Linked DNA regions of Stegostoma tigrinum. The protein of the gene in region 2 interacts with the protein of the main gene of each other region in a pairwise test. Links are inferred from orthologs where the notes say so. Each region holds a gene or a part of one and is shown on either strand. Other genes may lie near its edges.

Region 1 (13,135 bases), on a different chromosome or scaffold from region 2:
AGTGGGCTCTGTCGGAGGGTCAGTGCTGAGGGGGCGCCGCACTGTCGGAGGGTCAGTCCTGAGGGAGCGGGCACTGTCGGAGGGTCAGTGCTGAGGGAGCGGGCCCTGTCGGAGGGTCAGTGCTGAGGGAGCGGGCACTGTCGGAGGGTCAGTGCTGAGGGAGTGGGCACTGTCGGAGGGTCAGTGCTGAGGGAGTGGTCTCTGTCGGAGGGTCAGTGCTGAGGGTCGCCGCACTGTCGGAGGGTCAGTCCTGAGGGAGTGGGCACTGTCGGAGGGTCAGTGCTGAGGGAGCGGGCACTGTCGGAGGGTCAGTGCTGAGGGAGTGGGCACTGTCGGAGGGTCAGTGCTGAGGGAGCGCCGCACTGTCGGAGGGTCAGTGCTGAGGGAGCGGGCCCTGTCCGAGGGTCAGTGCTGAGGGAGCGGGCACTGTCGGAGGGTCAGTGCTGAGGGAGCGGGCACTGTCGGAGGGTCAGTGCTGAGGGAGCGGGCACTGTCGGAGGGTCAGTGCTGAGGGAGCGGGCCCTGTCGGAGGGTCAGTGCTGAGGGAGCGGGCTCTGTCGGAGGGTCAGTGCGGAGGGAGCGGGCCCTGTCGGAGGGTCAGTGCTGAGGGAGCGGGCACTGTCGGAGGGTCAGTGCTGAGGGAGTGGGCACTGTCGGAGGGTCAGTGCTGAGGGAGTGGGCACTGTCGGAGGGTCAGTGCTGAGGGAGCGCCGCACTGTCGGAGGGTCAGTGCTGAGGGAGCGGGCCCTGTCGGAGGGTCAGTGCTGAGGGAGTGGGCACTGTCGGAGGGTCAGTGCTGAGGGAGTGGGCACTGTCGGAGGGTCAGTGCTGAGGGAGCGCCGCACTGTCGGAGGGTCAGTGCTGAGGGAGCGCCGCACTGTCGGAGGGTCAGTGCTGAGGGAGTGGGCACTGTCGGAGGGTCAGTGCTGAGGGAGTGCCGCACTGTCGGAGGGTCAGTGCTGAGGGAGTGGGCACTGTCGGAGGGTCAGTGCTGAGGGAGTGGGCACTGTCGGAGGGTCAGTGCTGAGGGAGTGGGCACTGTCGGAGGGTCAGTGCTGAGGGAGTGGGCGCTGTCGGAGGGTCAGTGCTGAGGGAGCGGGCGCTGTCGGAGGGTCAGTGCTGAGGGAGTGGGCACTGTCGGAGGGTCAGTGCTGAGGGAGTGCCGCACTGTCGGAGGGTCAGTGCTGAGGGAGTGCCGCACTGTGGGAGGGTCAGTGCTGAGGGAGTGCCGCACTGTCGGAGGGTCAGTGCTGAGGGAGTGGGCACTGTCGGAGGGTCAGTGCTGAGGGAGTGGGCACTGTCGGAGGGTCAGTGCTGAGGGAGTGGGCACTGTCGGAGGGTCAGTGCTGAGGGAGTGGGCACTGTCGGAGGGTCAGTGCTGAGGGTGTGGGCACTGTCAGAGGGTCAGTGCTGAGGGAGTGCCACACTGTCGGAGGGTCAGTGCTGAGGGAGTGGGCTCTGTCGGAGGGTCAGCCCTGAGGGAGCGGGCCCTGTCGGAGGGTCAGTGCTGAGGGAGCGGGCACTGTCGGAGGGTCAGTGCTGAGGGAGTGGGCACTGTCGGAGGGTCAGTGCTGAGGGAGCGGGCACTGTCGGAGGGTCAGTGCTGAGGGAGCGGGCACTGTCGGAGGGTCAGTGCTGAGGGAGTGCCGCACTGTCGGAGGGTCAGTGCTGAGGGAGTGCCGCACTGTGGGAGGGTCAGTGCTGAGGGAGTGCCGCACTGTCGGAGGGTCAGTGCTGAGGGAGTGGGCACTGTCGGAGGGTCAGTGCTGAGGGAGTGGGCACTGTCGGAGGGTCAGTGCTGAGGGAGTGGGCACTGTCGGAGGGTCAGTGCTGAGGGAGTGGGCACTGTCGGAGGGTCAGTGCTGAGGGTGTGGGCACTGTCAGAGGGTCAGTGCTGAGGGAGTGCCACACTGTCGGAGGGTCAGTGCTGAGGGAGTGGGCTCTGTCGGAGGGTCAGTCCTGAGGGAGCGGGCCCTGTCGGAGGGTCAGTGCTGAGGGAGCGGGCACTGTCGGAGGGTCAGTCCTGAGGGAGTGGGCACTGTCGGAGGGTCAGTGCTGAGGGAGCGGGCACTGTCGGAGGGTCAGTGCTGAGGGAGCGGGCACTGTCGGAGGGTCAGTGCTGAGGGAGTGCCGCACTGTCGGAGGGTCAGTGCTGAGGGAGTGCCGCACTGTGGGAGGGTCAGTGCTGAGGGAGTGCCGCACTGTGGGAGGGTCAGTGCTGAGGGAGCGGGCACTGTCGGAGGGTCAGTGCTGAAGGAGCGGGCACTGTCGGAGGGTCAGTGCTGAGGGAGTGGGCACTGTCGGAGGGTCAGTGCTGAGGGAGTGGGCACTGTCGGAGGGTCAGTGCTGAGGGAGTGGGCACTGTCGGAGGGTCAGTGCTGAGGGAGTGGGCACTGTCGGAGGGTCATTACTGAGGGAGTGGGCACTGTCGGAGGGTCAGTGCTGAGGGAGTGGGCACTGTCGGAGGGTCATTACTGAGGGAGCGGGCGCTGTCGGAGGGTCAGTGCTGAGGGAGTGGGCGCTGTCGGAGGGTCAGTGCTGAGGGTGTGGGCACTGTCAGAGGGTCAGTGCTGAGGGAGTGCCACACTGTCGGAGGGTCAGTGCTGAGGGAGTGGGCTCTGTCGGAGGGTCAGTCCTGAGGGAGCGGGCCCTGTCGGAGGGTCAGTGCTGAGGGAGCGGGCACTGTCGGAGGGTCAGTCCTGAGGGAGTGGGCACTGTCGGAGGGTCAGTGCTGAGGGAGCGGGCACTGTCGGAGGGTCAGTGCTGAGGGAGTGGGCACTGTCGGAGGGTCAATGCTGAAGGAGCGGGCACTGTCGGAGTATCAGTGCTGAGGGAGTGGGCACTGTCGGAGGGTCAGTGCTGAGGGAGAGGGCACTGTCGGAGGGTCAGTGCTGAGGGAGAGGGCACTGTCGGAGGGTCAGTGCTGAGGGAGTGGGCACTGTCGGAGGGTCAGTGCTGAGGGAGTGGGCACTGTCGGAGGGTCAGTGCTGAGGGAGTGGGCACTGTCGGAGGGTCAGTGCTGAGGGAGCGCCGCACTGTCGGAGGGTCAGTGCTGAGGGAGTGGGCACTGTCGGAGGGTCAGTGCTGAGGGAGTGCCGCACTGTCGGAGGGTCAGTGCTGAGGGAGTGGGCACTGTCGGAGGGTCAGTGCTGAGGGAGTGGGCACTGTCGGAGGGTCAGTGCTGAGGGAGTGGGCACTGTCGGAGGGTCATTACTGAGGGAGTGGGCACTGTCGGAGGGTCAGTGCTGAGGGAGTGGGCACTGTCGGAGGGTCATTACTGAGGGAGCGGGCGCTGTCGGAGGGTCAGTGCTGAGGGAGCGGGCACTGTCGGAGGGTCAGTGCTGAGGGTGTGGGCACTGTCAGAGGGTCAGTGCTGAGGGAGTGCCACACTGTCGGAGGGTCAGTGCTGAGGGAGCGGGCCCTGTCGGAGGGTCAGTCCTGAGGGAGCGGGCCCTGTCGGAGGGTCAGTGCTGAGGGAGCGGGCCCTGTCGGAGGGTCAGTCCTGAGGGAGCGGGCACTGTCGGAGGGTCAGTGCTGAGGGAGCGGGCACTGTCGGAGGGTCAGTGCTGAGGGAGCGGGCACTGTCGGAGGGTCAGTGCTGAGGGAGTGGGCACTGTCGGAGGGTCAATGCTGAAGGAGCGGGCACTGTCGGAGTATCAGTGCTGAGGGAGCGGGCACTGTCGGAGGGTCAGTGCTGAGGGAGTGGGCACTGTCGGAGGGTCAGTGCTGAGGGAGTGGGCACTGTCGGAGGGTCAGTGCTGAGGGAGTGGGCACTGTCGGAGGGTCAGTGCTGAGGGAGCGGGCACTGTCGGAGGGTCAGTGCTGAGGGAGTGGGCACTGTCGGAGGGTCAATGCTGAAGGAGCGGGCACTGTCGGAGTATCAGTGCTGAGGGAGCGGGCACTGTCGGAGGGTCAGTGCTGAGGGAGTGGGCACTGTCGGAGGGTCAGTGCTGAGGGAGTGGGCACTGTCGGAGGGTCAGTGCTGAGGGAGTGGGCACTGTCGGAGGGTCAGTGCTGAGGGAGTGGGCACTGTCGGAGGGTCAGTGCTGAGGGAGTGGGCACTGTCGGAGTGTCAGTGCTGAGGGAGCGCCGCACTGTCGGAGGGTCAGTGCTGAGGGAGTGGGCACTGTCGGAGGGTCAGTGCTGAGGGAGTGCCGCACTGTCGGAGGGTCAGTGCTGAGGGAGTGGGCACTGTCGGAGGGTCAGTGCTGAGGGAGCGGGCACTGTCGGAGGGTCATTACTGAGGGAGTGGGCACTGTCGGAGGGTCAGTGCTGAGGGAGCGGGCACTGTCGGAGGGTCAGTGCTGAGGGAGCGGGCACTGTCGGAGGGTCAGTGCTGAGGGAGCGGGCACTGTCGGAGGGTCAGTGCTGAGGGAGCGGGCACTGTCGGAGGGTCAGTGCTGAGGGAGCGGGCACTGTCGGAGGGTCAGTGCTGAGGGAGCGGGCACTGTCGGAGGGTCATTACTGAGGGAGCGGGCCCTGTCGGAGGGTCATTACTGAGGGAGCGGGCCCTGTCGGAGGGTCATTACTGAGGGAGCGGGCCCTGTCGGAGGGTCATTACTGAGGGAGTGGGCCCTGTCGGAGGGTCATTACTGAGGGAGTGGGCCCTGTCGGAGGGTCATTACTGAGGGAGTGGGCCCTGTCGGAGGGTCATTACTGAGGGAGTGGGCCCTGTCGGAGGGTCATTACTGAGGGAGTGGGCCCTGTCGGAGGGTCATTACTGAGGGAGTGGGCCCTGTCGGAGGGTCATTACTGAGGGAGTGGGCCCTGTCGGAGGGTCATTACTGAGGGAGTGGGCCCTGTCGGAGGGTCATTACTGAGGGAGTGGGCCCTGTCGGAGGGTCATTACTGAGGGAGCGGGCGCTGTCGGAGGGTCATTACTGAGGGAGTGGGCCCTGTCGGAGGGTCATTACTGAGGGAGTGGGCCCTGTCGGAGGGTCATTACTGAGGGAGTGGGCCCTGTCGGAGGGTCATTACTGAGGGAGTGGGCCCTGTCGGAGTGTCATTACTGAGGGAGTGGGCCCTGTCGGAGGGTCAGTGCTGAGGGAGCGGGCACTGTCGGAGGGTCATTACTGAGGGAGTGGGCCCTGTCGGAGGGTCAGTGCTGAGGGAGTGGGCCCTGTCGGAGGGTCAGTGCTGAGGGAGTGGGCCCTGTCGGAGGGTCATTACTGAGGGAGCGGGCGCTGTCGGAGGGTCATTACTGAGGGAGTGGGCCCTGTCGGAGGGTCATTACTGAGGGAGTGGGCCCTGTCGGAGGGTCATTACTGAGGGAGTGGGCCCTGTCGGAGTGTCATTACTGAGGGAGTGGGCCCTGTCGGAGGGTCAGTGCTGAGGGAGCGGGCACTGTCGGAGGGTCATTACTGAGGGAGTGGGCCCTGTCGGAGGGTCATTACTGAGGGAGCGGGCACTGTCGGAGGGTCATTACTGAGGGAGTGGGCACTGTCGGAGGGTCAGTCCTGAGGGAGTGGGCACTGTCGGAGGGTCAGTGCTGAGGGAGTGGGCACTGTCGGAGGGTCATTACTGAGGGAGCGCTGATATCACACACAGGCCAAGTTGTGATTTTGTTGTTCGCTGTTTAACCGCTGCCCTGGGATTAACACAATTTGTGACTAATCGCTCGCTCTGGCACCGGAGCCACTCAGGGACGGGGTCGGCGCTTCTAAAATGTAATGTCCTGCCAGCACCCTTCACTCACCTGCGAGCACACATTTAGCTCGTAGTTTCACCATGTCTCCTCCTGCTCGGTTCGGAAGCCCATGAACCGGTTCATTCCATCGACAATAAACCTGGAGGCTCCTACTCCAGGCCTCACTTTAGGCCGCAAACCGCCATCAGGCCTCCTTGGTTACACCGCCCTAGCAACTTCCTCTCGCCTCCTCTCATTGGTCCCGGCCCCGTGGGCGGTGTACCCGATATTAATTGGCCAACTCGCCGTCCGTCGCAACCCTCTGCTACATGATTGAGCGTCTGGGATGCCAATCAGGTGTCCTCACGCTGTAATTGGTCTAGAGGCCGTCCGTCATACTGCCGTCCAAAGTGATTGGATATCTGTGACGTTAAGCGAGGAGCTCAGCATATCCACGTGTTTACAGTATCTTGAGGTTGTGATAACAATGCCAGGTTTTAAAAACTTTTTTTGGGAAACGGATAAATAGGTGAACCTACGAGAATATTCTTTTCTCAGATAGCAAAAAAAAACTTAAGTATATAAAACAGAAGTATGGATGCTGTGAAACAAAAACAAAGTTCTGGAGAATGTGTTCAGAGATAATAGGAACTGCAGCTGCTGGTGTGGAGCTGGACGAACACAGCAGGCCAAGCTGCATCTTAGAAGCCTCTCTGATGAAGGGTCTAGGCCCCAAACGTCAGCTTTTGTGCTCCTGAGATGCTGCTTGGCCTGCTGTGTTCATCCAGCCTCACATTTTATGCTGGAGAACGTATGGCAGCATCAGTGAGGGGAAGGACAGTTGCCAGTCTAGAGCCCAGCAATTTATTTTTTATTACTTTCAGATATTTTATAGCTTCCATGCTGGGAAGTTCTAAATCTCTGTTGGAGTAAAATACTCCTGCAATAATTACAAATTGAGAACTCAGAGCAGACCTAGGCTCTCAGTCCCAGGCCTGCACTGTGATCACCGCTGGTCTATCTTGACTCCATTTCCCCCGACCTGTCAACCCATTACCAAAGTATTTCATCAAATTTACTCAATATCTCAGTATTCACCACTCTTCAAAAGAGATATCATTTCTCATGTTTTAAAAATCAGCTATGTGCTTCATCCTACAATTACTCATGTCCAAGTATGATTCACCTGGATAGCATGCAAAACAAGTTTTCACCGTTTAGGCAGGTTCTTTACACAGAGAGTTGTGAGAGCATGGAATGTGTTGCCAGCAGCAGTTGTGGAAGCAAGGTCATTGGGGTCATTTAAGAGACTGCTGGACATGTATATGGTCACAGAAATTTGAGGGTGCATACATGAGGATCAATGGTCGGCACAACATTGTGGGCTGAAGGGCCTGTTCTGTGCTGTACTGTTCTATGTTCTATGTTCTAATAACAAATCTAGTGAATTCCCCAAACCCCAAGTTCACCTTGTGACAGATAATAGGAACTGCCAATGCTGAAGAATCTGAGATAACACTGAAGCTGGATGAACACAGCAGGCCAAGCAGCAGAGGTGCAGAAAAGCTTGATGTTTCGGGTCGGGACTGAAGGAGGGTCCCAACCCAAAACGTCAAGCTTTCCTGCTCCTCTGATGCTGCTTGGCCTGCTGTGTTCAGCCAGCTCCAGTGTTATCTCAACTTGTGACAAATGCATTATGTAACATTTACATAGTACTTTGGGATGTTTAGTTAGCTAACAGAACTACAAACAAAAATGACCATGACATAAGCTTCGGGTGACCTGTCAAAGATGTAGATTTTAAAAAAGGTCTTCATAGTATCACAAGGCATCATAACACCAACATTGTTCACATTTGATTTGAATCACAAAAAGCTGGCATGTAGGGAAAGCAAAGAGAATGCCCATTTATTTTTAAAAGGAAAAAAGGTATCTAGTTAAACTACACCAAGGGCAATGATCAGACCACAGGTGACAAATTTTAGTCCCTTTATCCAATGTATACCAGGCATTGGAGACAGTCCAGAAAAGGTTCACTTTGTTGATTCCAGGTATGGAGAGACTTGTCTGGAGGGGCAAGTTGAGCACGTACCAATATCATGAGAATGAAGTGATCTTACTGCTGAAAGGCTTGTTTCTTAAAGATACTTGACCAAGTAGATACAGAAAGGTTATTTCACCAGTGAGAAGCAAAGATCAGGACGTGACACCCAAAGACCAGAGGATGATTTTCTCTGCCCATCCCACCTGAAGGGTATTTAGTTTGGAGACCCCTTTACTGCAGAGGGCTCAAGGCTATGTTGGCAACAATGTTGAAGGATGAGGTGGGCAGATTTCTAAACATTAAGTGAATGAAAGGTTATGGGGATAGGTCAGGAAATGGGACAGTTATCAGATCAGCCATGATCAAGTTGAATGGCAGAGTCAACGGGCCAAGTGGCTTATTTTGGCTCATGCATCCTGTCTCAGTGAGCTAGTAGCAGATGGCATTGTTTGGGCAAAGATCCCATATACCAACTTATGGTATCATTGGCCTGTGCTGGCTTTGTGTCAAGCAATGCCCTGATTAGAAGTTACTTCAAGGCCTCAACTTAGGGTTTAAACCCTGCACCCTACCTTGCCAATATCTCTACTATCCAGATGACCCCTTTCCTTTCCATTGGCAGTGCCTCAGCCCCGTAGTCTGCAAAGCTAATAAAGCCTACATGCAGGTAAAGGATAACAGAAGCAAACTCTCAGCTTGTACGCTGTGCGCTTTTAGACATATGAACATAGAATGCAAAGCAGGTCCAAGGGACTAAGTTCACAGCTGATTACAATCTCAAACCTTCATTCCTGCTGAACCTCTCACTGCCTTGCTTGAAGAATTACTTCTGCCTCAAAATATTCGATGAACTCTAGTTCCATCACATCTTCAGGGAGAGTTCAAAATACACAACCCTCAAGATAGATACTGCCTCACCTTTTTAAACTGGCAAACCCCTAGTTCTAGATCTTTCCCAGAGAGAAAAAACCCATTGCCACATCAACTCCATCAAGGGATGTCAGGATTGTTTCAAATCCAGTCACTTTATTAAACACCCCACAGGTAATCCAACCATGCCTCAACACAACCCACCGAGTCAAGGTATTAGTCTGATAACTATGGGAAGGGAAACAGAAGCCACAGCAGTAGTGTCAATAAAGTAGCACAGAATTTAACCAAATCACATCCTGACTGCCATACAGGACTGTAGGAACACAGAACACCAAAATGGTCTTTTCTTTAAAAAAGGTATTTATTGAACACTGGAACAATGTTATAATTGGTCCATGGTTTATGCAGCCTCTTCCTTGGCAATGCGATCCTTCTTCAGTGGTCCCTGAAAACAAAACAATACCAATATCAAAAAGAGCTGGGCAAGGCAGTTTCAAACAAAAACCCCAACATGTGTTCATTGCAACTACAAAACAGTTCTTAAGTCTTGTGCAAGTCAATTTACAAAATCTGAAGGCACACCACAGGAAAGTTGCACTGATTAATTTATCACTCACCATAAATGCCTTCTTCTCCTCAAGGGTCTGGAAGCGGCCATGACCAAATTTGGAAGAGGTATCAATAAACTTCAGGTCGATCTTCTCCACAGCACGGCGGTTTGTCTGCACCAATAGGGACTGCAGGGTTGAACATTACAGTTTAATATTCTGTACCACAACCAGCTTAAAACTATGGGTGGGGTGGGTGGAGGAGACAGAAACATGGGCTGTCTGCACACCAACTTAGAACAGGAATAGCATCTCACCTGGAGACCAGAGATGGATATACATTAGCCATGCCTTTGTCACAATCATGCATCTACAGAGCATCTTGATCAGAGACTGAATGGCAGTATGCACACTATTACCTAGGAACAAGCCACTATGGGCCTAGTAGTGTTGCTTTTACCTGCAGAGCTACTCAGCATCCCAGGGGTACCACTAAATTATATTCAATGGCAAGTTTGTTTTGTCTCTGACAACCAAAAGGATATGGAGAGTTGGCAGAAAGGTGCAGTCAAATCTAAAGATCAACATTTGTCAGTGAACTCTACAGTAGATTTGACAGGTGTATTCCTACTCCCATTTCTCATGGTAAGTTAATGATGCAGAGTATTGGCCATCTATGGGGAAAGCTGAAAATGCTCAAGGGCAGCTACAATCTTTAACCGAGGGGGGAAGATTGACTATGTATTCATATTAAGATAACAAGTAGTTACCTTACGCAGCGTAAGCACACGTTTCTTGGTACCAACAACACAGCCCTTCACCATTACAAAATCATTGGTAACTTCACCATAGTGAGGAAATCCTCCCTGATGAGATTGAAAACAGCAGTTAGCACAACAGTCTTAGAATGACATGAACTACAATTTGGAATGTCATTTATAGCTTGCTAAAAACGCACTAGTGGGTTGATGCTCTTGTCTGTCAAGTCATACTCTGTAGCAGCATTGTTCTTCACCAGCTTGCCATCCTTGGTCTGGTAACCAGATCCAATCCTGTAGATCTAAAAAGGTAAAGAATTGAGTTTTAGTTCACATTTTAAGGAAACCTGGTAAAACGCATTCAGAGACAAGGTGTGAGAATTTCTATTTCAGGCAAAGCAATTTTGAGAATGTACTGTAATTAAGGATTGAGAGGTCAGTCATTCTGACCAAAAAAAAAAACAGCACCATTTGCAAAGAAACCTGGAACCCCAGCTTTGGCTCTTGCTCAGGATTCTCTTCAGGTTAAGAGACAGGTTCAGCTGGCAGTTAGGAAGGTAAAAGCAGTGTTATCATTCATTTACAGTGGCCTAGAATACAACAGCATGTATGTACGCCTGACATTGAAGGCAGCTCTGGCCAGACCACATTTGGAACACTGAGTAGTTTTAGGCCCCATATCCAAAGGAAGGATGTGCTGACCTTGGAGTGGGTCCATGATCTAAGGAATGAAGGGCTTGTCATGAGGAACAATTGAGAACACTGGGTTTGTACTTGGGAGTTTACAAGGATGAGGGGGAGTCTGATTGAAACAAACAGAATACCAGGCCTGGATAGAGTGGATATGGCAATGTTTTCACTAGTAGGAGACTAGGACCCAGGGGCACAACCTTAAGCGTGAAGGCAACTCTTGAGAACTAAGACAGAGGAATCTTGGGGTTCAAGTCCCTAGCTCGCTGGAAGTGACCACACAAGTAAAATAGGGTGGTAAAGGCATATGGCATGCTTGCCTTTACTAGCCAGGAAACTTGAGTACCAGTTAGAATGCCATGTTACAGCTTTATAGTAAGTGTCACTGAACCAAAAATGTTATTGCATTCAATTCTCACCACATGACAATAGCGACGTTGAAGCTTTGGCACGGTTTCAGAAGGTTTGCCAGGTTACTGCCTGGATTGGAGGGTTTGAACTACAAGGAGGCTAGAAAAACTGAAGGGAGACTTGACAGAAGTCTATAAAATTATGAGATGCAGAGATAGGGTTGATTGTCAGTACGTACCATTTTCCCTCGCAAGACTTCAAAATGTCTAATGCTAGAGCCAATGCCCCTCTTGCCTTTTAAATGCAAAGTTCAAAAAGAGATGACAGGTATGTTGTCTTTTAAAAAGACAGACAAGAGTGGTATGAGTGTGGAATGTACTGCCAGGGATGGTGGTGGAGGCAGATATGATAGGGTCATTTAAGAAACTCTTAAGATAAATACATGAAAATGAAAGGAACAGAGAGTTACAGGACCAAGAGCAGGGAAAAGGCACTTGTTTAATTTGGCATGTTTGGCACAACATTGAGAGTTGAAGGACCCATTCTTGTGCTGTGCTATTTTAGGTTCTGAGGAGAGGAGGAACTTATTCAGATGCAGGATATTTCATCTGTGGAGCTCATTGCTGCAGAGGGCTATGAAGACCAAGTCATTGAGTGTCTTTAAAAGGCAGATAGATAGGTTATTGATTACTAAGTGGATCAAGGTTACAGGGAGAAGGCAGGAAAGTGGGACTGAGTAACATATCAGCCATGATCAAATGGTAGAGCTGACTCAAAACAGCCCAATTCTGCTCCTGTACATTGTGAATTCAGAAATGCACATTAAGAATAAACTTGGACTGGAGACCCAGCTAGCATCCTTTAGGGAGGGGCAACAGCCATTCTGATCCAATCTAGACAATTGTGATTCCACACCCACTGACTTTAAAGTGCTTACCTTCTTGTTGATCTCTGTACGGTGATGGTATCCCTTCTGACCTGCACGAGCAACAGAGAAAGCTACACGGGCAGGATGCCAAGCTCCAATACAGGCAACTTTACGCAGCCCCTTGTGAGTTTTCCTTGGCAGTTTCTTTGTGTGCCAACGACTGGTGACCCCTGGGGAGGCAGAGAACAGACCAATTAGTGAATACCCAAGATGTTGACAATTCTTCATTTACTCCTGAAACAGAGATCTCAGAAGGAAGGCAGCATGGAATGGCTCCTCATCAGAGTCAGATGCTGTTACCAACATATATTCCATGTTATCATCACAGAATGCTCCAACAGTGAAGTGTGACAATGGTCAACAAAAGTGTCATTAAAAAGGCATATTACCTATGCACATAAACAAAATACAATCATTTGAGACCCATCCAACTAAGCAGCTGATTCACAGATTCCATACCTTTGAAGCCATGGCCTTTAGTAACACCAATGACATCTATCATCTCATCCTGACCAAACACCAGGTTAACAGAAACCTGCTGTTCCAGTTTCTCTCTTGCCCAATCAACTTTCTCAGCAATTGTCCCACCGTTCAGCTGGATCTCCATGATGTGGGACTTCTTCTGACGCAAGGGAAGCAGGCGCATCTGTGGAGATGAAGCATTCCAATGAACAAATCAGAACAAGCCAACATGAGTGGGATATTTCCCTCTGTTAATCAAGTCAATTTGCTCCACCACTACCAGCACATCTTTGCTTGCCTAAAATAAACTGACGGCCTTCAAAATCACCTCCACTCACCCTAATATTTCTTTAGGAATGGCTTGGTGTCAAATACGTTTACAGGAGACTTCTGTGAAGCAGGTTGGAATGTTTCACTATAACCATTCCTATGAATAGATATGCAACTCTCCCAGAATTAGAGGGCTGAAACAACACTCTACACCATCCACAAAACCTGACACAAACTTATGGTCTTGGCTTGTCCCCTGAAGACATGACATGGGGATTAAATTTTTTTAAAAAAACACTAAATCAAGTGGCCTTATTATTAAGATTTTGTGAAACAAAAGTTTGAGTATCCCGAAGTAATTTAACAGGTATTAAAATCCAAAACAAACAAAAAGGTAGCAAGCCAGAAATCGCAAACAGAAGCTTCCGTACCCAAGCCTCCTTTCAAATTCAGCTTTGGTGCTTACCTGTGTGTGAGCAATGATGCGAATAACTTGGCAGTATTTCTTCATGCTGTTGAAGTCCTTCTCCAATTGTTTCTTGCCATCTTCATCCTGCCATTTCTTGCAGTACTTGGTGAAAGCCT
Region 2 (12,099 bases):
CCCACACACCCTTCATTTTTCTACCATCCATGTTCCAATCCAAGAGCCGCTTACATGTCCCTAATGCATCTGACTCTACTACCACTGCTGGCAGTGCATTCCATGTGTAAAGAAACTATTGACATGCCTTTATTCTAAAGATTTAAATATTGGTTCAAACCTCTGGCTGACCAATAAATAACGGCCATGGAATGGCAGAATGATAAGAGAGTGGACAGTAATAAAGTACAGTGCACATACTGATGGTGGATCCAGAAGTGACATGTCAGATAAAAATCCTTCAATAGTGAAACAGGAAGATCTTGTACTAGTTCTCATGGTTCATTCAGATGTTAATCAAGAGTACTTTCAGGAATTACCAATGAAGACTGCACAGTATTACAAAACCAAAATAATTTATTCACAATAACAATCCACTAATTATGGTTTATAATAAATATACTGTAGATGGATGTACACTAGTTAGATTTTCTCAACATCAATGTTCCATCAAGTCCTGTTAGCAAGAGTTGTGCAGTGTAGACTCAGGCATCTTCCTCTGTACCTTCCACTGTAACCTTGTGTACTGACACAAAGTGATCAAAACCAGACTTTATGATAAATCGTAGATGTGTAGCTCTAGTTTCATCCTGCTATATAGAGAATATAATTTATTAATTCACACTTTTTTTTTTGAAAAGGTTAGTGCATGCCCAACTCAGAACACAATTTTCAAGATGTATATCATCATATAATGTGATTTCTTATCTGATTTACAGAATTTGGGCATTACTGACTAAACTGCCTTTGAGGGGAGGCTGTGGGAGAGTGGTAACATCACTGGACTCCTAAACCAGGCTTAATATTCTGGGGATATGGATTTGAAACCCACCTTGTCAGATGAAGTTTAAATTCAATAAAAAGCTAGCCTAATGCTGACCATGGAATCACTGTCAATTGACAACAGCCATCTGGTTCTTTAATGACCCTGAGAGATGACAATCTGCTGCCCTTATCTGGTCTTGTCCACAAGTGACTTTGGATCCACAGTAATATGTGGATATTACTTAAATGCCCTCTGGGTAATTAGGAATAGGCAAAAAATACTGGCCTAGTCAATGATGTTCATATCTCAAGAATGAATTTAAAAATAAACATCTATTGTCCCCATCTACTTGCCCTTTAAAGTATGACAGCTGTCTTGAATCACTGCAGTCCATGGGGCTAGGTAGACACAGCGGGAAGGGAGTACTAAGATTGAGATGTACAATAATGAAGGAATGGCAATGTTAGTTCCAAGTCAGGTTAGTTATGATTTGAAGGAGAATTTGCAGGTGGTGGTGCTCCCACATGTTTGCTCTCCATGGCATAAGTGCTCGAAGTTGCAGGTTTGGTAGGTGCTGTAAAAAGAACCTTGGTGAGTGGTGCAGCGCACCTTATGGAAAGCACACACTGCTAACACTCTGCATCAGTAAGAGAGGCAGTGTATAAGTAAGTTGGTGGATAGGATGCCAAACAGGCTGGATATTTTATCCTGGGAAGAAATTCTTGAGAGTTATTCGCGCTGCACACATCTAGGCAAGTGGAGTATTCCATCACATGATTTGTGCCTCATAGATCGTGCACAGATTTTGGGGAGTTTGGGGTCATTTACCTGTCACATTCTTAACCTCAGACTTCCTTTTGTACTCACAGTTTAATGCGACTAGTCCAGTTCAGTTTCCAGTCAATGGCAACTTCACAATGTTGGAAGCAGGGGATTTATTTTAGTCATTCGTAGGTCGTAGGTGTTGCTGGCTGGCCATCATTCATTACCCATCCCTGGTTGTGCGTGAGAAGGTATGGTGAGCTGCCTTCATACTTCCGATTACCATGGATTCCAGTTTTGCTAGGGCTCCTCGATGCCACACCGTCAAATGCAGTCTTGAGGTCACTCTCATCTCACCTCTAGAAATCTGCTCTTTTGACCACGTTTGAACCAAGGCTGTAATGAGATCAACAGCTGACTGGCCCTGACAGAACCCAAACTGGGCGTCACTGAGCAGATTATTGCTTAGCAGGTGCTGCTTGATAGCTCTGTTGATGACACCTTCCATCACTTTACTAATGATCGAGAATAGATTGATGGGCTGGAAAATGACCAGGTCAGATTTATCCTACTTTTTATGTACAGAACATATCTGGGCAATTTTCCAAACAGTTGGGGAAATGCCGGTGTTGTAGCTGAACCGAAACAGCTTAGCTATGGTACGGCAAGTTTTGTATTCTTCAATACTATTGCCAAAGTGTTGTCTGGGCCTGGAATCTTAGCCGTATCCAATGTCTTCAAACATTTCTTTGGCTGAAGGCTGGCATCTGTGATGTGGGACCACTGGAGGAGGCCACAATGGATCATCCACTCAATATTTCTGGTTGAAGATTACTGCAAATGCTTCTACCCTACTGTTTGTACTGATGTGCTCAACTCTGCCATCATTGAGGATGGGAATGTTTCTGGAGATGACTCCTCCGATGAGTTGTTTAATTGTCCACTGATGATTGGATGTTGCAGGACAGTGGAGCTTAGATCTCATCAGTTGATTGTGGGATAGTTTTGCTGCCTACAACTTGCTGTTTATGCCGTTTGGTAGCCCTACTTAGTTTCACCAAGTTGACAACTTATTTTTAGGTATGGCTGGTGCTGCTCCTGCACACTCCATTGAACCAGAGTTGATCGCCTGTCTTGATGGTAATAACTGAATGGGGGTATGCTGGGTCATGTGGTTGCAGATTATGTTGGAGATTCTGCTGCTGTGATGCCCATAGCACCTTATGAATAGCCAAACTTGAGTTGCTAGGTCTGTTTAAGTCTATCCCATTTTGGCATTGTGATAATGCCGCATAACACGATGATGGGTAATCCCAATGTGAAGCCAAAGTAATGCCACTGTATGTGAAGGGACGATGGTTAGATTATTTCCAGCTGGAGAAAGTCATTGCCTTTTATTTGAGTGGCATTAATGTTAGCAATACAGCAAGAAACAGACCATTTGGTCAACCCAGTCCATGCTAGTATTTATAATTCATTAAAGTCTCTACCCTTTTTTGACCCTTGAATTGTTATGTTATTTTACTTAGCAAACTAGGTCACAGTGCACCTTGCATTCCCAAAATAATGAATATTATTTTGAACCACTTAGTTAAATTTAATAATGTGTACGTGTACATTATTTGAATTGGCCTCATTTTCCAACTTGGGAAAGTGATTGTCCTTCGCTCAGAAGCTTGCTGCAACAGCACCATAGAGATCAAAAACTTCAGTAGAAATGGGGAAATCAAACCGCTACAACACTATTCAATACTACTTTGGGGAGGAACTGACCTATAATGATTTCATACCTAATATGTTACCTCAGCTTTTTGTAGAATTTACTTACTGTAAATTCCTTTACTTGAAGCTGTTCCTCAGAGCGCTCAAGTTCTGGTAAAAAGTAAGCACAACAGGATGAAAACCATCAAAAGAAATGGAACGGAAGCAACTATTTTCAACAACAATCTTGGCAATATTATCAAAATATTTGTTGAGTACACTTACCATTGTTACTCAATGGTTCAAAATCTACAGGATCTCTTGCTATACTTCTCTCAATACCAAGGTTACGCACTGGAATGGTAAACCAAGAAAAACTTATTACTTTTGGAACATTTACAATTATTTTGAGTAGATGGTGTCTTACTTTATTCTCATGAATTTTGCAAGATAGTTCAATGTTTACTCATGCATTTACACTGAAATATAGCTAGAAATATACTCCTCTCAAAACTGAATAGGTATTTGCAAAGTCATGCATAAAAGCTTGGTAAAGATCATGAATAATTAAGAACTACTGTTCATTGCACTTTATTCTTTGATCCATATGGAACGAGGTAAAGTAGCTTGTTTATCATAGTAAATCATTAGTATATTCAAATATAGTAATTAAAAAGCAGCAAAAATCTTACCATTGTAACAGTGAATTTTCATTGAGCTAATTTTTATAAGATTAGCAAAACTTAGGATAAATTCTTGTGGGAACATTCCTGTTGTAATCCAAAATGATTCTGTATTACTGTGAACAGAAGTACAGTATGAGACTTGGTATTTTTGTTTATTGAATTTTCATCTTTTTTTCTAATCTGTGTCTCATTAGTATCATAGATAGCCAGTTCTAGCAGGTGACTGTTCTTCGTGCCGAGCCTAGATGAAAATGACTTGCATTCATAGAGCACCTTGAATTTGATAAAACAATCCCAAGCATTGGATAGTGGGTAAGAGAAAAGGAAAACAGTCAAAGTTTCTGGACTATAATCTGGCAATTCTTGGGATAAAATTTGCTACATTTTTCATTTGGGTGCAATCTCCCTTTAATCAGAGTGGGAGGGGAGACACTTGCATTTGAAAAGCCGGAATATTATACCTAGTTATCTTGTCCAATACTTAGCACTCTCAAAACCGCAGATAATCTGTGGTTATTTCTGTCTGTGGGACCTTGCAATGCGTACAATTAGCTGCTGTTAAATGTTGAATTACAACTGTAACTACACTTCAATGGACTTAGTTAGCTGGAAAACACTTTGAGAAAGCTGGTGGTTGTGAAAAGTGTTGAAGAAAGGTCCCGAGCCGAAACGTCAACTTTCCTGCTCCTCTAATGCTGCTGGGCCTGCCGCGTTCCTCCAGCTCCATACTGTTATCATATAAATAAAAGGTCTTTTTATCACTAGGCTATATTGCAACCTCTACCAAAGCAGGGGTGTTCGCTTTTGACCGTGAAAGAAGTCTCACTGATAGATCTAACTACCTTTCTGCCGAGAATTCCACCTCTACCACCCGACACTGGTTCTGCAAAGAATTGAGGCATTTTACTGCATAATCCGGGCATGGAGCTGAAGTAATAGCATCAGACTGTCGACGCAACCATTTCATAACTAAAATAAAAAGCTGACGAACAGCCAACTTTGATAGGATTTCTCGCAGGGCAATGGGTACTTAGAAATTCTCAAGGTGTAGGGCACGCGCCAGGCGCTATATCAACGCAATGCTGTGTTATCTAAGGGGACGATCCTGTTCGCCAACCGCACGGACAAGCTGAAGATCCTCACCCGTCCAGGATGTTCTCCGGCGGGTGTTTCTCATCTGAAGACGCCGCCAACACAACCTGCGTCCCCGCCACCGTCAAACCGAAATCCCGCTTCATGTCAACCTCCCCGGCCGTTACTACAGCAACCCGCCACTTCCGGTCCTTCACATATACTCCCCCCGTGACCGGCGGTGACTTCCGGTCCTTCCCATAATCACCTTCCCTCAATTTTCTGCGTTATGGTTCCGTGCTCCCCTCCTGGGAAACAGGAGGTTTAGTAGTTTGGTGAGTTTTACAGCTCATTTGGGAATCCTTGTGGCTACAGCCAGGCACTAGCAGTGACCAGCCAGGGTAAGTGTTGGACTCGGTGGAATAAGTGGGCAGAAGTTTAAGGGAAAGTGTTTCCTCCCCAGCCCTCATTTTCAGGATGTGACATTTGCAGCCACTTGTGAGAGCTGGGAGAGATATTAATCTAGGATAGAAGAGCCTGACTCTATTGTCCTAGTGAGTTGCTGAATGAATTGTTTTTGGACTCATCCGGATTTTGTATTGCCTGTCCCTCTCCCAAGGAGATATGAGTGTTTTTTTTCAACACTGGAGATACTTTAGTGGTTAAGTTTAAAATTAGCTTGATATGAATTTTAAGCAGTAAGAAATTTAAGGATGTTAGTATGTTGTTCTATCATGTAATTGATTGTAGGTAAGAGAAATAACTGAGATTATGCACATGAAGCAACACGCCACTCTAGTTCCATTAGAGATGGGTAATATGTGACATTTAAATTAATGTTGGTGGAATACAGTTTGTTTTCTGATGAAAGCGTTTGTTTTGACTGTCTTGTAAAAAACTATGTCTTCAGGGGGTAATTTGACCCTGAAAAAAGACACTAGATGATTACAATAGAATACATTTAAAGGTTAGTGTTTTTTTCTTTGTTTTGCATGGTGACCTAAACTTCTCAAATGGGTTTGTCTAAATCCAACATTATCATTACAAATTTTGATGTCTGGTTTTGGAAATTTATGTTTTATAATGGTTCATGGTGACCACATCTCTAGCAAGTGTTGGTCGCTTGAGGAACTGTGGCTCAGAGTTAACATCATAGAATCATACCGTGCAGAAGAGGCCCTTCGGCCTATTGAGTCTGCACCGAAACATGAGAAACACCTGATCTTCAACTTAATCCCATTGATGAGCTCTTGACCGTGACCTTGAATGCTATGACCTGTTAAGTGCTCATCCAAGTACTTTTTAAAGAATTTGAGACACCATACTTCTACTACTAACCCAGGCAGCATATTACACACTGTTGCCAAAAAAGTTTTTCCTTTCATTTGCACTCTCCACCGAACCTCCTCCTCACCTTCAGCCTGTATACCCTTGTCACTGACCTTTTAACTGAGGGGAATCGCTACTCCTTATCCATTCTGTCCATGCCCCTCATAATTATGTAGACCTCAATCAGACCACCTTTCAGTCTTCTCTGCTCCAGTGAAAGCAATGCAAGCCTATCAAACCTTTCCTCAAACTTAAATTTTACATCCCAGGCAGCACTTTGATGAATCTCCTGTGCATGTCCCCCCGTGCCCCAATAGTAGTTGTTCCCAGCCTACCTTGGCCATATCTTGCCTTATTTTACTAAAATCTGCTCTCCCCAAGTGCAAGCCCTTTTTCTTTTTGATGAGCTGGAATCTGAACTTTGTACTCTGCAACTCATCATGGAGGGTAGATTTACCTGGACACTGTTTCAGAAGGCAGTCACGCCCCTTAGATTAACTACCTCAAATTCGGTCAAGAACAGGGTGACGTGATGACAAGTGAGGCATGTAGAGGAATCCAGGAGGTAGGCTGGAGATACCAGCCCTTGAGCTTATCTAACAGGTTTGAGATTCTTGCTCCCTGTGTAATGAGAGTGGGGGCTGTAGGGCGGATGAGCAAACTGACCAAAGTGGTACAGGAAGCCATTCCAGAGGGGGGAGAAGAAAGAAAAGTAGTTGTAATCAAGAGTAGTATAGCCAGAGGAATAGCCATTTCTGTGTTTTCAGGATCAAGAGTCCTGAATGTTATGTTACTTGGCTGGGTTCCGGGTATCTCATCTGGCTGGAGAGGAACTTGGAGTGGGAGGGAAAGATCCAGTTGTCATGGTCCATATAGGTAGAAAGAGGAAAGACGTTCTGCTGAGGTAATATGAACAGCTTAAGGGCTCAATTAGAAAGTAGAACCAAAAGTTAATCTCTGATTTCTATCTGAGCCACAAGGGAATAGGCATAGGGTGAGCAAGATTAAAGAAGTAAACACGTAGCTCAAAGATTGGGTGTATAGGAGAAACGGGTTTGAATTCATAGGACTTTGGCACCAGTACTGGAGAAGGAGGGAGCTGTTCCAATGGAATGGACTCCCACCTGAATTATGCTGGGATCAGAGCCCTGGAGAATCACATAACTAGGGCTGTGGACAGCGCTTTAAACTAATTATTAGGAGGGTGGGTTCAGTTGCATGGAAAAAGTTAAAAGCAGGGAGGACTCAGCAGAGGTTAGTAAAATTTTCAGAACAAGTAAAAGGAGAGAGTATGGAACATGTTAAAAATCTAACTTCAGGCACAGCAGATAAGGAGACAGCCATGAGAAGGGGGCAGTCGACACAGGACCGAAGGTGTCATACTTCAATAAACGCTATATATGAAACAAGATAAATGAGTTTGTAGTGCAGACTGAAATTGATGGGTGCATTGTAGTGGGCATCACAGAGACATGGCTGCAAGGGGATCAGGGCTGGGAACTAAACATCTGAGGAAACATGTCCTATTGAAAGGACAGGCAAATGGACAGAAGGGGCAGCGTTGCCGTGTTAGTGAGAAGTCAAATTAAATTGATAGCAAGAAGTAAGAAAGAGTTGAAATGTGTAGAATCTGTGTGGTTAGAACTGCAAAGGAAATAAGACCCAAATAGGAGTTATGTCCTAGCAGTAGTTAGGATATGGGGAAGAAAATAAACTAGGAGATAGAAAATGCATGTAAGAAAATTACTTTTTTTATAATAATCATGGGGGACTACAGTATGCAGGTGGACTGGGAAAATCAGATAGGTAGTGGATCTCAAGAAAAGGAATTTGCAGAATGTCTACGAGGTGTTTTTGTTGGAGCAGCTTGTGGTAGAGCCCACTAGAAAAAAGAAACATACAAAGGGGATTACGAAGCAACCATGGCTGACGAGAAGTCAGGGACAGCATAAAAGCAAATGAAGTAATATACAATGGGTGAAGATTATCCTGGGAAGTCTTTAAAACCAGCAGAGTATAACTAAAAAAGCGGGTGGATGAAATATGAGTGTAAACTAACTAGTAATATAAAGGAAGATTGCAAGAGTTTTTTTTAGATATATGTAGCTAAGAGAGAGAGGCAAGAATGGACGTTGGACCACTGAAAAGTGATGCTGGAGATGTAGGAAGGCCTGAAGGTGGATTAATCACCTGGACCAAAGCATTCGTGGTGATCTTTCAGGAATCATTGGAGTCAGGGAGGGTGCCAGAGGAGTGGAAAATGATTAATATAACACCCTGTTTAAGAGGGGAGGGAGGCAGAAGACTGGAAACTATATGCCGATTAGTCTGACCTCAGTCGTTTTTTTAAGATTATAGAGCCCGTTGTTATGGATGAGATTGAGTGTACTTGGAAGTGCTGAGTCAGCATGGCTTCCTTAAGGGGAGGTCATGCCTGACAAATCTCTTTGCAGAACTAATGAGCAAGTTTGACAAAGGAGAGCCAATGGACATGAGCTATTTGGATCAATAGGCCTTTGACAAGCTGCCTCTGATTAGGGATAGCCAGCATGGCTTTGTGCATGGGAAATTGTGTCTGACAAAACTGAGCTTTTTGAGGACATGACCAAGAGGATAGATGAAGGCAGAGTAGTGGATGTTGTCTACGTGGACTTTAGCAAGGCATTTGTCAAAGTTCTACATGATAGACTGGTTAATAAAGTTAGATTGGATGGGATCCAGGGAGATATAGCCAATTAGATACAAGTTGGTTTGCCAGTGGGAGACGGAGAGTAGTGGTGAAGGATTGTTTCGGAGACTGGAGGCCTTTAACTAGCGGTGTTCTGCAAGGATCAATACTAGGCCCACTATTGTTTGTCCTTTTTGTACAATGATCTACATGAGAATATAGGAGGCAAGGTTAGTTAGTTTGTAGACGACACCAAAATTGGTGGAATACTGAGCAGTGAAAGAGGTAATCTCAGGGTACAACAGGATCTTGATCAGATGGGTCCATGGGCCAAGGAGTGGCGAATGAAGTTTAATTTAGATAGGTGTTGCATTTCGGTAAGACCGTCTGGGGAAGGACTTAAACTGTTAATGGTAGGGCCCTGGGGAGGACTGATGAATAGAGAGACCTAGGCGTTCAAGTACATAGTTCTTTGAAAGTGGTGTCACAGGTAGACTTGGTGGTGATGAAGACATTGGCACACTTTACTCAAGGGTCTGACCAATGAAGGCAAGAACATAGAACATTACAGCGCAGTACAGGCCCTTCGGCCCTCGATGGTTTCACAGGTCGGTGCAACAATTTGAAGCCCATCTAACCTACACTATTCCGTTATCATCCATGTGTTAATCCAATGTCCATTTAAATACCCTTAAAGTTGGCAAGTCTACTACTGTTGCAGGCAGGGCATTCCACGCCCTTATTACTCTCTGAGTAAAGCACCTACCTCTGACATCTGTCCCATATCTATCACTCGTCAATTTAAAGCTATGTCCCCTCGTGCTAGCCGTCGCCATCCGGGGGAAAAAGGCTCTCACTGTCGACCCTATCTAATCCTCTGATCATCTTGTATGTCTCTATTAAGTCACCTCTTAACCTTCTTCTCTCTAACGAAAACAGCCTCAAGCCCCTCAGCCTTTCCTCATAAGACCTTCCCTCCATTACCAGGCAATTTCCTGGTAAACCTCCTGTACACCCTTTCTAATGCTTCCACATCCTTCCTATAATGCAGCGACCAGTACACAATACTCCAAGTGTGGCCGCACCAGAGTTTTGTACACCTGCAACGTGACCTCGTGGCTCTGAAACTCAATCCCTCTACCAATAAAATCTAACACACCGTACGCCTTCTTAACAACCCTATCACCCTGGGTGGCGACTTTCAGGGATCTATACACATGGACACCGAGATCTCTCTGCTCATCCACACTACCAAGAATCTTACCATTAGCCCAGTACTCTGTATTTCTGTTACTCCTTCCAAAGTGCATCACCTCGCACCTTTCTGCATTAAACTCCATTTGCCACTTCTTAGCCCAGCCCTGCAGCTTATGTCCCTGTGTAACCTGCAACATCCTTACACACTATCCACAACTCCACCGACTTTAGTGTCATCTGCAAATTTACTAACCCATCCTCTGCGCCCTCATCCAGGTCATTTATAAAAATGACAAGAGTGGCCCCAAAGCAGATCCTTGCGGTTCACCACTAGTAACTGAACTCCACGATGGACATTTCCCAACAACCACCACCCACTGTCTACTTACAGCTAGCCAATTTCTGATCCAAACCGCTAAATCACTCTCAATCCCATGCCTCCGTAGGAGTTGGGATGTCATGTGGCTGTGCAGGACATTGGTGAGGCCACTTTTGGAGTACTACATACAATTCAGGGTGTCATGCTGTAAAGAATTATGTTAATAAACTGTAAAGAGTGCAGAAAAGATTTACAAGGATGTTACTGGGATTGGAGGATTTGAGTTATAAGGAGAGGCTGGACAGGCTGGGACTTCTTTCACTGGAGCAGAGGAAGCTGAGGGGCCACTTTACAGAGGTATATAAAATCTTTTATAATGCCTTTCCCTAGGGTAGGGAGTCCAAAACTAGAAGGCATAGGTTGAAGTTGTGAGGGGAAGATTTCAAAGGGACCTGAGGGACAACCTTTTCACACTGAGGGTAGTTTGTGAGTGAAATGAACTGCCAGAAGATGTGGTAGATGCACATTTTAAAGACATTTGGACAGGTACATGATTAGGAAGGTTTTAGAGGGATATGGGCCAAATGTTGGCAAATGGGACTAGTTTAAGTTTGGAAAGCCATAATGAGGAACCTGGTCAGCAAGGACAGGATGGACTGAAGAGTCTATTTCTGTGCTGTATGACTCTATGACTCTGTGACTCTATGAGATAAAAGCCCATGGTGTTAGGAGCAAAGTATTGGCGTGGATAAAGTATTGGCTAATTGGCAGAAGACAGATAAAGGGATAAAGTGAGGATTTTTCAGAATGGCAACAAGTGACTGGTGGAGTTCAGCAGCGGAGAGTGTTGGGACCAGAGCTATTTATTATATATTAATGATCTGGATGAAAGAACCAAGGAAATGGAGTTTTGTTTTATTCACTGATGGGATGTGGGTTTCACTAGTCAGGTCAGTATTTAAAACATAGAACATAGAACAGTACAGGCCCTTTGGCCCATGATGTTGCACTGACCTATTCTCCTAAGATCAAACTACCTTCCATACCCTACATTTTACTATCCTCCATGTGCCTATCCAAGAGTCACTTAAAAGTTTCTAAAGTATCTATGGATGAAGCGCTAAATTCCAGAGTTGAGGTGAGAGTGACAGCCTTTGAAATCAGGGCTGCATTTGAACAAGAGTGTCGAGTCGTCCTAGCAAAACTGCAGTCAATGGGTATTGGGACACATTCTCCTCTGGTTGGAGTCATAGCTGGCAACCTGAAGATGATTTTGGTTGCTGGTCAGCCACCTCAGCTCCAGGACGTCACTGTAGGAGTTCCTCAGGATCGTATTCTCAGCCCAACCAATCTTCAGCAGCTCATTAATGACTTTTCCTCCATCATTAGGTCAGAAGTGGGGATGTTCATCAACACAATGTTCAGCACCATTCGTGACTTCTCTGTTGCTGAAGGAGTCCATGTTTAAATGCAACAAGACCTGAATGATCACCTGGCGTGGGCTGACAAGTGACATTCACACCATACAGGCAATGACAGTCTCCAATAAAAGACAATGTAA

The links.
Region 1: the proteins of hspb11 (region 2) and ift27 interact in binary tests that used the Homo sapiens proteins (3 or more experiments, as listed by UniProt). The two-hybrid records come from large-scale screens. The link is inferred for Stegostoma tigrinum from reciprocal best matches to the Homo sapiens genes IFT25 and IFT27.

Annotation. Positions count from the first base shown.
Region 1 is NC_081391.1:24,533,735-24,546,869, forward strand, and holds the start of ift27 (intraflagellar transport protein 27 homolog), read right to left. Parts: upstream 5,851-13,135; 5' UTR 5,730-5,850; coding exon 5,696-5,729; intron 1-5,695. Other genes in the region: large ribosomal subunit protein uL3, read right to left, coding at 8,944-8,988, 9,161-9,280, 9,862-9,957, 10,050-10,151, 11,828-11,988, 12,278-12,464, 13,017-13,135. UniProt on the Homo sapiens protein: Small GTPase-like component of the intraflagellar transport (IFT) complex B that promotes the exit of the BBSome complex from cilia via its interaction with ARL6. Not involved in entry of the BBSome complex into cilium. Prevents aggregation of GTP-free ARL6.
Region 2 is NC_081361.1:41,473,648-41,485,746, reverse strand, and holds the start of hspb11 (intraflagellar transport protein 25 homolog), read right to left. Parts: upstream 5,235-12,099; 5' UTR 5,193-5,234; coding exon 5,098-5,192; intron 4,068-5,097; coding exon 3,961-4,067; intron 3,623-3,960; coding exon 3,554-3,622; intron 3,440-3,553; coding exon 3,396-3,439; intron 633-3,395; coding exon 525-632; 3' UTR 1-524. UniProt on the Homo sapiens protein: Component of the IFT complex B required for sonic hedgehog/SHH signaling.